Saccharomyces cerevisiae S288C: one gene and its partner. Each later gene encodes a partner of the first gene's protein in a complex. Links are inferred from orthologs where the notes say so. Each region holds a gene or a part of one and is shown on either strand. Other genes may lie near its edges.

Evidence for each region. The genes of interacting proteins can lie anywhere in the genome.
Region 2: the proteins of LAT1 (region 1) and PDX1 are in contact, whole or in part, in a cryo-EM structure (PDB 8OHS), measured with the Neurospora crassa proteins. The link is inferred for Saccharomyces cerevisiae S288C from one-to-one orthologs. Residues at the interface, in XP_962786.1 of Neurospora crassa: Lys263, Lys266, Leu267, Gln269, Ala270, Pro453, Leu454; in XP_956161.2 of Neurospora crassa: Leu323, Gln326, Val327, Leu328, Lys332.

Annotation. Positions count from the first base shown.
Region 1 is NC_001146.8:489,944-493,471, reverse strand, and holds LAT1 (dihydrolipoyllysine-residue acetyltransferase), read right to left. Parts: upstream 1,950-3,528; coding exon 501-1,949; downstream 1-500. Other genes in the region: TOM7 (Tom7p), read right to left, coding at 1-106; ribonuclease H2 catalytic subunit RNH201, read right to left, coding at 2,232-3,155; lysine--tRNA ligase MSK1, read right to left, coding at 3,356-3,528. UniProt on the Saccharomyces cerevisiae protein: The pyruvate dehydrogenase complex catalyzes the overall conversion of pyruvate to acetyl-CoA and CO(2).
Region 2 is NC_001139.9:882,628-887,741, forward strand, and holds PDX1 (Pdx1p), read right to left. Parts: upstream 3,115-5,114; coding exon 1,882-3,114; downstream 1-1,881. Other genes in the region: glyceraldehyde-3-phosphate dehydrogenase (phosphorylating) TDH3, read right to left, coding at 185-1,183; XKS1 (xylulokinase), read right to left, coding at 3,446-5,114. UniProt on the Saccharomyces cerevisiae protein: Required for anchoring dihydrolipoamide dehydrogenase (E3) to the dihydrolipoamide transacetylase (E2) core of the pyruvate dehydrogenase complexes of eukaryotes. This specific binding is essential for a functional PDH complex.

The DNA of each region.
Region 1 (3,528 bases):
CAAATGGGATCCAGCCATAATGTGCTACATTATGAGTCAAAGTTAAAATTTTGGAAATACGTTCTTTAGATTCATCGCTTAAGATAAAAGATGGTAGGAAACTCATGGTTTATTTGTTAAAAGCTAATTTTGGCAAATATTGAGAGATAAGAGGGAACTAGTTTCTTTCACCGAACAATAATATACGAAAGTAGTATGCTAAACTTTATGCGTTATATCCTATATCCCACTCCTTTGTTAATTTCAACCAATTCCACATGAGGTGAAAAAACAAAGATGTTGACGCACCGTTTGACGTGATTTATTTATATCATTTTGAGACAGAAGAGAGAGAGGATTTAGATTCGAAGACAAGCGAAGTATTTCAGTATAATGTATACGTATTTGAGTATTTGAGTATTTTTTTTTTTTTTTTTTTAATTTTTTATATATACAAAATAACAAATTGATATTTTCTCCAAGATACGCATTTACTGGCGAATTTTATTTTCATTCTAACCTCACAATAGCATTTCCAAAGGATTTTCAATAACAGTTTTCAATTCCTTCATGAATTCTGCACCTTTGGCGCCATCAATGGTTCTATGATCAAAGGTCCCTGTTATGGTAACCTGGTTATCAAAGGAGAATCCGTTCTCAGCAGCGGCGTCTTCCACAGCGACCCTTTCAACAGTAGCGATGGCCAAGATTGTAGACTGTGGTGGGTTGATAATCGAAGTAAACATGTTAACAGCATTATTCATGCCCATATTGGATATGCAAATGGTCCCACCTTGGAATTCCTCTGGTGCCAATTTGTTTATTCTGGCACGCTTGACTAGTTCCTTGATTTCGTTAGAGATTTGCGACAAGCCCTTGGCCTCACAATTCTTGACAATTGGTGTCAATAATCCTGTTGGTGTGGCAACAGCGACTGAGACATCGACATTCTTGAATTTACGGATAACGTTCTCATTAGGTAACCAGTAGGCATTGGCATCTGGCACCCTCTTAGCCGCAACAGTGATGGCTTTTACTAATAGGTCATTAATGGACAGTTTGTACTTGTCGTTTGCTGTAGCGTTCAAGGACTGTCTCAATTTCAAAAGTTTGGAGATGGATATCTTGGAGGAAACGATGTATGATGGAATGCCTTGAGTAGATTGCAATAAACGTTCTCCAATGATGCTTCTCATGGTTGAAATTGGAACATCCTCATATGATGCTGTAGAAGAAGGCGATGGAGCAGAGCCAGCAGTAGTGCTTGAGGTAGCGGCGGCAGGAGTGGCGGCGGCAGCACCACTGGTTTGAGAAGACTGCTTAGACGACTTTTCTAGATATGACTCAATGTCAGCCTTGGTAATTCTACCGCGGGGTCCAGTGCCGTGAACATCCTTCAAAGAAATACCCTTTTCCAAGGCGATAGTCTTGGCAAGTGGAGAGGCAAAAATCCTACCTTGAGGAGCAGCAACGTCAGATTTCTTAGCTTCAGGTGCAGAAGTCTTGGTCTCTTCAGCTGGCGCTTCTTGTTTCTTTTCTGCCTGTGGTTCGGCAGGCTGAGCCTTCGTACTGGTCTTTGAATCAGAACCTGAATCCTCCAGCTTAAAGTCCTTAAAAGCTGGCACATCAGCTTTGTCCTCCACATAGACGGCAATAGGCTTGTTGACAGGAATGTCCTTTGTACCTTCAGGAACTAGAATCTTGGCTAAGTAACCATCTTCTTGGAACTCAAAGTCCATTTGAGCCTTGTCTGTTTCTATTTCGGCAATAACTTCACCGGGAGACAATTGGTCACCTTCCTTCTTAGTCCAAGCAGCAAGATTACCTTGCGTCATCGTAGGAGACAGTGCCGGCATACCAATAATGGTGTGCTCTGGGTACGATGCGTAGCATCTCAATTGCAGTCTCAATGATCTGGTGAGTACTGAACTTCTGGATATTCTTGGAACCACCCTGACAAAGGCAGACATAGTACGCTAATAACTATTAATTTTACTGGATGCAGTTTACAGCAATGGAAGATGTTGAGCGTGAACAAACAGGAAACGTAACAGCCTCTCTTCTAGTCGTTCCGGTTGGTTGTCTCGACCTCTTGTTGTTCTTTGCGTAACACGGGGGGTGAGAAGGGCCGGTCACGCTTCACGGATAGTAGAAACGGCAAAGCATAGTAGCAGATGACTTGTATGAGTTATTGAAGTTATGACATATGTAGTATTACATGAAGATATATAGTATGTGCAAACTGGAGGTGATCACCGGTACCAATTATCTAGGGTTCTCAGCCTCTTCCTTCTAACAGGCTTAGCGACCATCTGGAGCTGCAATTGCTTGGTTTTTTGTGCGGCGTTCTTCCTGCTGTCCATATATTGTTCTTCCCACTTGATAGGGATACTATTCTTACTGGCGTCATCTAACAGAGTCTGGCATGTCTGCCATGAGAATCTTACCATGTTGGCGGGCCAGCCCATAAGACTTGTCTGGTTGCGCTTCAGCCATGCGACTGTCTTCGGGTCGGAGGGGTATCCAGAACCCAGGATCTCATCGGGATCCCTCTTCAAGGATTCGACTAGTATATCTCTGGTCACTTTTGCAACGACACTCGCCACACTGACCATGCAGTAGAGCGAGTCTGCCTTCTTGGCGACCGTAAACTTGACACCAGGAAATCGTTGCTCCAGTTTCTTCTGATAGGACGCTGGTGGTCCAACAGTATCCACATACACGTGACTGAGCTTCACGTTCTGCTTTATCACGCCATCAATGAGTGCCATTGTGACATCGTGCGCCTGCTCATTCAAGTTATAGTTTCTCGTCGGTGGGAACTTGCTCATTCCTCTAGAGATATCCAACGGAGTGATGCACGTAGTTGCGTAGCCGATCTGGGTTAGTTCTTCGTTGTCCTGGTATATCTTGGAAAACAGCATTCTTCTGATGGGATCTGTAAGTTTTTTAGAGTCGTCAAACTCGTAGTTAGGGATTATAGTTTCGTCCTGATATTTCTGTGTAGAATAGGCTACTGCGTAGACCATTGGCCCTAATACGGGCCCTCTGCCAGCTTCATCGATACCCATTATTATTGGAGAGTCATTCTGTTCCAAGAGCGCGCTTGGGACAGGTGAAAAGTACGACTTAGTGTAAGGAGACTCCAAGGATGCTTCTACCGTGGGGGGTACCATTTAATCGTATCAATTTGGTGTGCAGTAGTTGTTTTCAAGGTTTTTCGACACTCTCATTAGCTATAACTGAATATTTATATTGGATTTTTCGCGTAGCGTAGTTTATTGGTGTAGAGAAAAAAAAAAAATTAAATGCCATTCTAATTATTTACAGTATATGTCTGATTTATTTACAAAAGCATTGGCAGGCGTCGCAAAATTTACTGCCTGTTTACATCATCCACACAGCCAAAGGGCAGAACCTCTTCTATCCTCTTCTTGTCGCAAAATAGCATGCACAATCTATCTATGCCAAGGCCAAAGCCACCTACTGGAGGCATACCGTATTTCATCGTCTCAACATACTGGTAGTCAATAACAGGCGATAAGGTCT
Region 2 (5,114 bases), on another chromosome or scaffold:
GTATCTACTACAGATATTACATGTGGCGAAAAAGACAAGAACAATGCAATAGCGCATCAAGAAAAAACACAAAGCTTTCAATCAATGAATCGAAAATGTCATTAAAATAGTATATAAATTGAAACTAAGTCATAAAGCTATAAAAAGAAAATTTATTTAAATGCAAGATTTAAAGTAAATTCACTTAAGCCTTGGCAACGTGTTCAACCAAGTCGACAACTCTGGTAGAGTAACCGTATTCGTTGTCGTACCAGGAGACCAACTTGACGAACTTTGGAGACAATTGGATACCAGCGGAAGCATCGAAGATGGAAGAGTGAGAGTCACCCAAGAAGTCAGAGGAGACAACAGCGTCTTCGGTGTAACCCAAAACACCCTTCAACTTACCTTCAGCGGCAGCCTTAACAACCTTCTTGATTTCATCGTAGGTGGTTTCCTTGTTCAACTTGACAGTCAAGTCAACAACGGAGACATCGACGGTTGGGACTCTGAAAGCCATACCGGTCAACTTACCTTGCAATTCTGGCAAGACCTTACCGACAGCCTTAGCAGCACCGGTGGAGGATGGGATGATGTTACCGGAAGCGGTTCTACCACCTCTCCAGTCCTTGTGGGATGGACCGTCAACAGTCTTTTGAGTAGCAGTCAAAGAGTGGACAGTGGTCATCAAACCTTCTTCAATACCGAAAGCATCGTTGATAACCTTGGCCAATGGAGCCAAACAGTTGGTGGTACAAGAAGCGTTGGAAACAATCTTCAAGTCAGAAGTGTATTTTTCTTCGTTAACACCCATGACGAACATTGGGGCGGTGGAAGATGGAGCAGTGATAACAACCTTCTTGGCACCAGCGTCAATGTGCTTTTGAGCAGTGTCTAATTCCTTGAAAACACCAGTGGAGTCAATGGCGATGTCAACGTTGGAAGAACCCCATGGCAAGTTAGCTGGGTCTCTTTCTTGGTAAGTAGCAATCTTCTTACCATCGACAATGATGTGCTTGTCATCGTGGGAAACTTCACCAGCGTATCTACCGTGAGTGGAGTCGTACTTGAACATGTAAGCAGCGTAGTCGTTGGTGATGAATGGGTCGTTCAAAGCAACAACTTCGACGTTTGGTCTAGACAAAGCAATTCTCATGACCAATCTACCGATTCTACCGAAACCGTTAATAGCAACTCTAACCATTTTGTTTGTTTATGTGTGTTTATTCGAAACTAAGTTCTTGGTGTTTTAAAACTAAAAAAAAGACTAACTATAAAAGTAGAATTTAAGAAGTTTAAGAAATAGATTTACAGAATTACAATCAATACCTACCGTCTTTATATACTTATTAGTCAAGTAGGGGAATAATTTCAGGGAACTGGTTTCAACCTTTTTTTTCAGCTTTTTCCAAATCAGAGAGAGCAGAAGGTAATAGAAGGTGTAAGAAAATGAGATAGATACATGCGTGGGTCAATTGCCTTGTGTCATCATTTACTCCAGGCAGGTTGCATCACTCCATTGAGGTTGTGCCCGTTTTTTGCCTGTTTGTGCCCCTGTTCTCTGTAGTTGCGCTAAGAGAATGGACCTATGAACTGATGGTTGGTGAAGAAAACAATATTTTGGTGCTGGGATTCTTTTTTTTTCTGGATGCCAGCTTAAAAAGCGGGCTCCATTATATTTAGTGGATGCCAGGAATAAACTGTTCACCCAGACACCTACGATGTTATATATTCTGTGTAACCCGCCCCCTATTTTGGGCATGTACGGGTTACAGCAGAATTAAAAGGCTAATTTTTTGACTAAATAAAGTTAGGAAAATCACTACTATTAATTATTTACGTATTCTTTGAAATGGCAGTATTGATAATGATAAACTCGAACTGAAAAAGCGTGTTTTTTATTCAAAATGATTCTAACTCCCTTACGTAATCAAGGAATCTTTTTGCCTTGGCCTCCGCGTCATTAAACTTCTTGTTGTTGACGCTAACATTCAACGCTAGTATATATTCGTTTTTTTCAGGTAAGTTCTTTTCAACGGGTCTTACTGATGAGGCAGTCGCGTCTGAACCTGTTAAGAGGTCAAATATGTCTTCTTGACCGTACGTGTCTTGCATGTTATTAGCTTTGGGAATTTGCATCAAGTCATAGGAAAATTTAAATCTTGGCTCTCTTGGGCTCAAGGTGACAAGGTCCTCGAAAATAGGGTCAAAGTATTTCGAATTTGTGTCCATTAGTGGTGTTCCGTGTGAGAACTGGTAAGCTTCTTTCATGAAAGAGTTCAATGATTCACTCAGTTTGTCAAACGGAATAGAGGCGGGAGCATGGAACACTAATTGCTCTTCAAATTCTACAGGAGTAATCTTTGGCTTGTCGGCAGCTTTTGTTTGAGCTTGCTCGGCTATTTTTGGTTTGAGCTGTATAGGTTTAATGTTCGATAAATCGAGACGTTCGTTCTTCTTGATAAATTCTGTTACCTTGTTAACCGAATCTTGTGGTATTTTCCCTAGGTATGCTAGCACATCACCCTTTAATAGTCTACCGTTGGAACCAGATGGCGCAATTTCCTTCAAAGCCTTTTGTTTGGATATATTGTTCTCAGCCAGTAGTAATGACACGGATGGTAATAGCGTCTGTTCAAGATTGGCTTGGCTGCCGTCAACGGTTTTTATTGGTGTAACTGTGGCTTTTTTTAAATGTTGTTGTGTTGCTTCAGTACTATCTGCGGATGGCTTCTTAATTTCAATAGATTTCGCATTTGCGGTGTTGGCCTCTTGGGGTAACTTTATAGTAGCTAAATCATCATCAACATCAGCAATATAAGCAATAGGTTCACCAACATCAACATCTTTAGAGCCTTCATCTTTCAGGATCTTAGCTAGTTTACCATCGTCCAGTGCTTCCACATCAATTTGAGATTTATCTGTTTCCACTTCTAATATCACATCGCCCGCGCTGAATGGTTCGCCAACTTTATATTTCCAAGACACAATCCCCCCTTTCTCCATAGTAGGAGACATTGCAGGCATTGAAAATGTCTTTACAGCAAGTAATTTAGCTGATGCATGATAGTTGCATTTGGTTAAATATCTTGTACATGATTTTAAAGTGGAGACTTTGGAAATTGCACTTAGCATTTTTGAATTTTTCCCTCGAGATGATTTAACAATAACCTAGCTCTTTCAATGCTCTCTTATATTCTCACTGGAAAGCGCTAATTTGATTTGTCTCTCTCGTTGCTGGTCGCTCACCCTTTCATAAATTGTTTTTTACTCTTCATTTATTGATTTTACTTTTTGTCATTTTCCGAACGGGGAACAAAATGATGACTACTTGCTACAGTATACGAAACATACAAGGGCATTGTCATGTGCACGCATAATAACGGTGATATATATATATGTATGTATATTATGTGTCTGTGTTTGTGTGTACTTGTCAGGGCATGATAAATTATTCAAACATATTTTAGATGAGAGTCTTTTCCAGTTCGCTTAAGGGGACAATCTTGGAATTATAGCGATCCCAATTTTCATTATCCACATCGGATATGCTTTCCATTACATGCCATGGAAAATTGTCATTCAGAAATTTATCAAAAGGAACTGCAATTTTATTAGAGTCATATAACAATGACCACATGGCCTTATAACAACCACCAAGGGCACATGAGTTTGGTGTTTCTAGCCTAAAATTACCCTTTGTAGCACCAATGACTTGAGCAAACTTCTTCACAATAGCATCGTTTTTAGAAGCCCCACCTACAAAAAAAGTCCTTTCTGGCCTTTTATTTAGGTAGTCCCGCAGCGGAGATTCATCGTAATCAAACTTCACGATTGTATCTTCGTTCAGTCTCTGTTGTGAGCTTGCGTTTGAATCCGAAAGCAGGGGAGATATTCTTACCCTGCAACTTAAAGCCTGTGATTCTACAATATTTTTGGCATCGTGCCTCTTGTCTTTGAACTTGGCCACCTCTCTTTCAATCATACCCGTTTTTGGATTGAAGATAACCCTTTTGTTTATGGCTTTTACGCTAGGAACGATCTCCCCCAGAGGAAAATATACACCTAATTCATTTTCACTACTTTCTGAGTCATCTAGCACAGCTTGATTAAAAAGAGTCCAATCGTTAGTCTTCTCATAATTATTTTCCCGTTCTTTGTTTAACTCGTCTCTTATCCTCTCCCTTGCCAAAGAACCATTACAATAACAAATCATACCCATATAATGGTTTGGCAGAGTTGGATGAATGAAAAGATGATAGTTCGGAGAGGGGTGATACTTATCGGTGACCAGAAGAACTGTAGTACTTGTTCCTAGGGAAACGAGAACGTCATTCTTCCGCAGGGGTAAAGAACATATAGTGGCTAAATTATCCCCAGTCATGGGAGAGACCTTGCAGTTTGTATTGAAACCGTACTTCTCAATAAAATATTTACAGATGGTACCCGCTATCAAATTTTTCATGGGTGCTCTCATTAATTTTTGTCTGATAGTTTTATCCTTAGAAGAACTATCAATTAGATGTAGTAGCTCATCACTGAATTTTCTTTCACGTATATCATAAAGGTTCATACCACAGGCATCTGCCTCCTCTAATTCAACAAGATGGCCCACTAAGATAGAAGTCAAAAAATTAGACACTAAAGAAATGGTCTTTGTTTTTTCGTAAGCTTCTGGTTCTAATTGTGCAATTTTCAGAATTTGAGGACCAGTAAATCTAAAATGGGCTCTGGACCCTGTTAATTGAGCCATTTTTTCAGGCCCACCTATGCACTCTTCAAACTCTTGACATTGCTTTGCAGTACTGTGGTCTTGCCAATTGGGGGCGGTTTGCCTTGCAAATGCTACAGAGCTCACGTAGTGCAATAAATCTTTTTCCGGTTTCTTATTCAATTGCTCTAACAGAGATTCGGCTTGGGAGGACCAGTAGACAGACCCGTGCTGCTGGCAGGACCCTGAGACGGCCATAACTTTGTTCAATGGAAATTTAGCCTCGCGATATTTCGAGAGAACCAGATCTAGAGCCTCTAACCACATGGCTACGGGACATTCGATAGTGTCGCCGTGTATATAGACACCCTTCTTTGTGTGATAATGCGGAAGATCCTTTTCAAATTCCACTGTTTCTGAATGG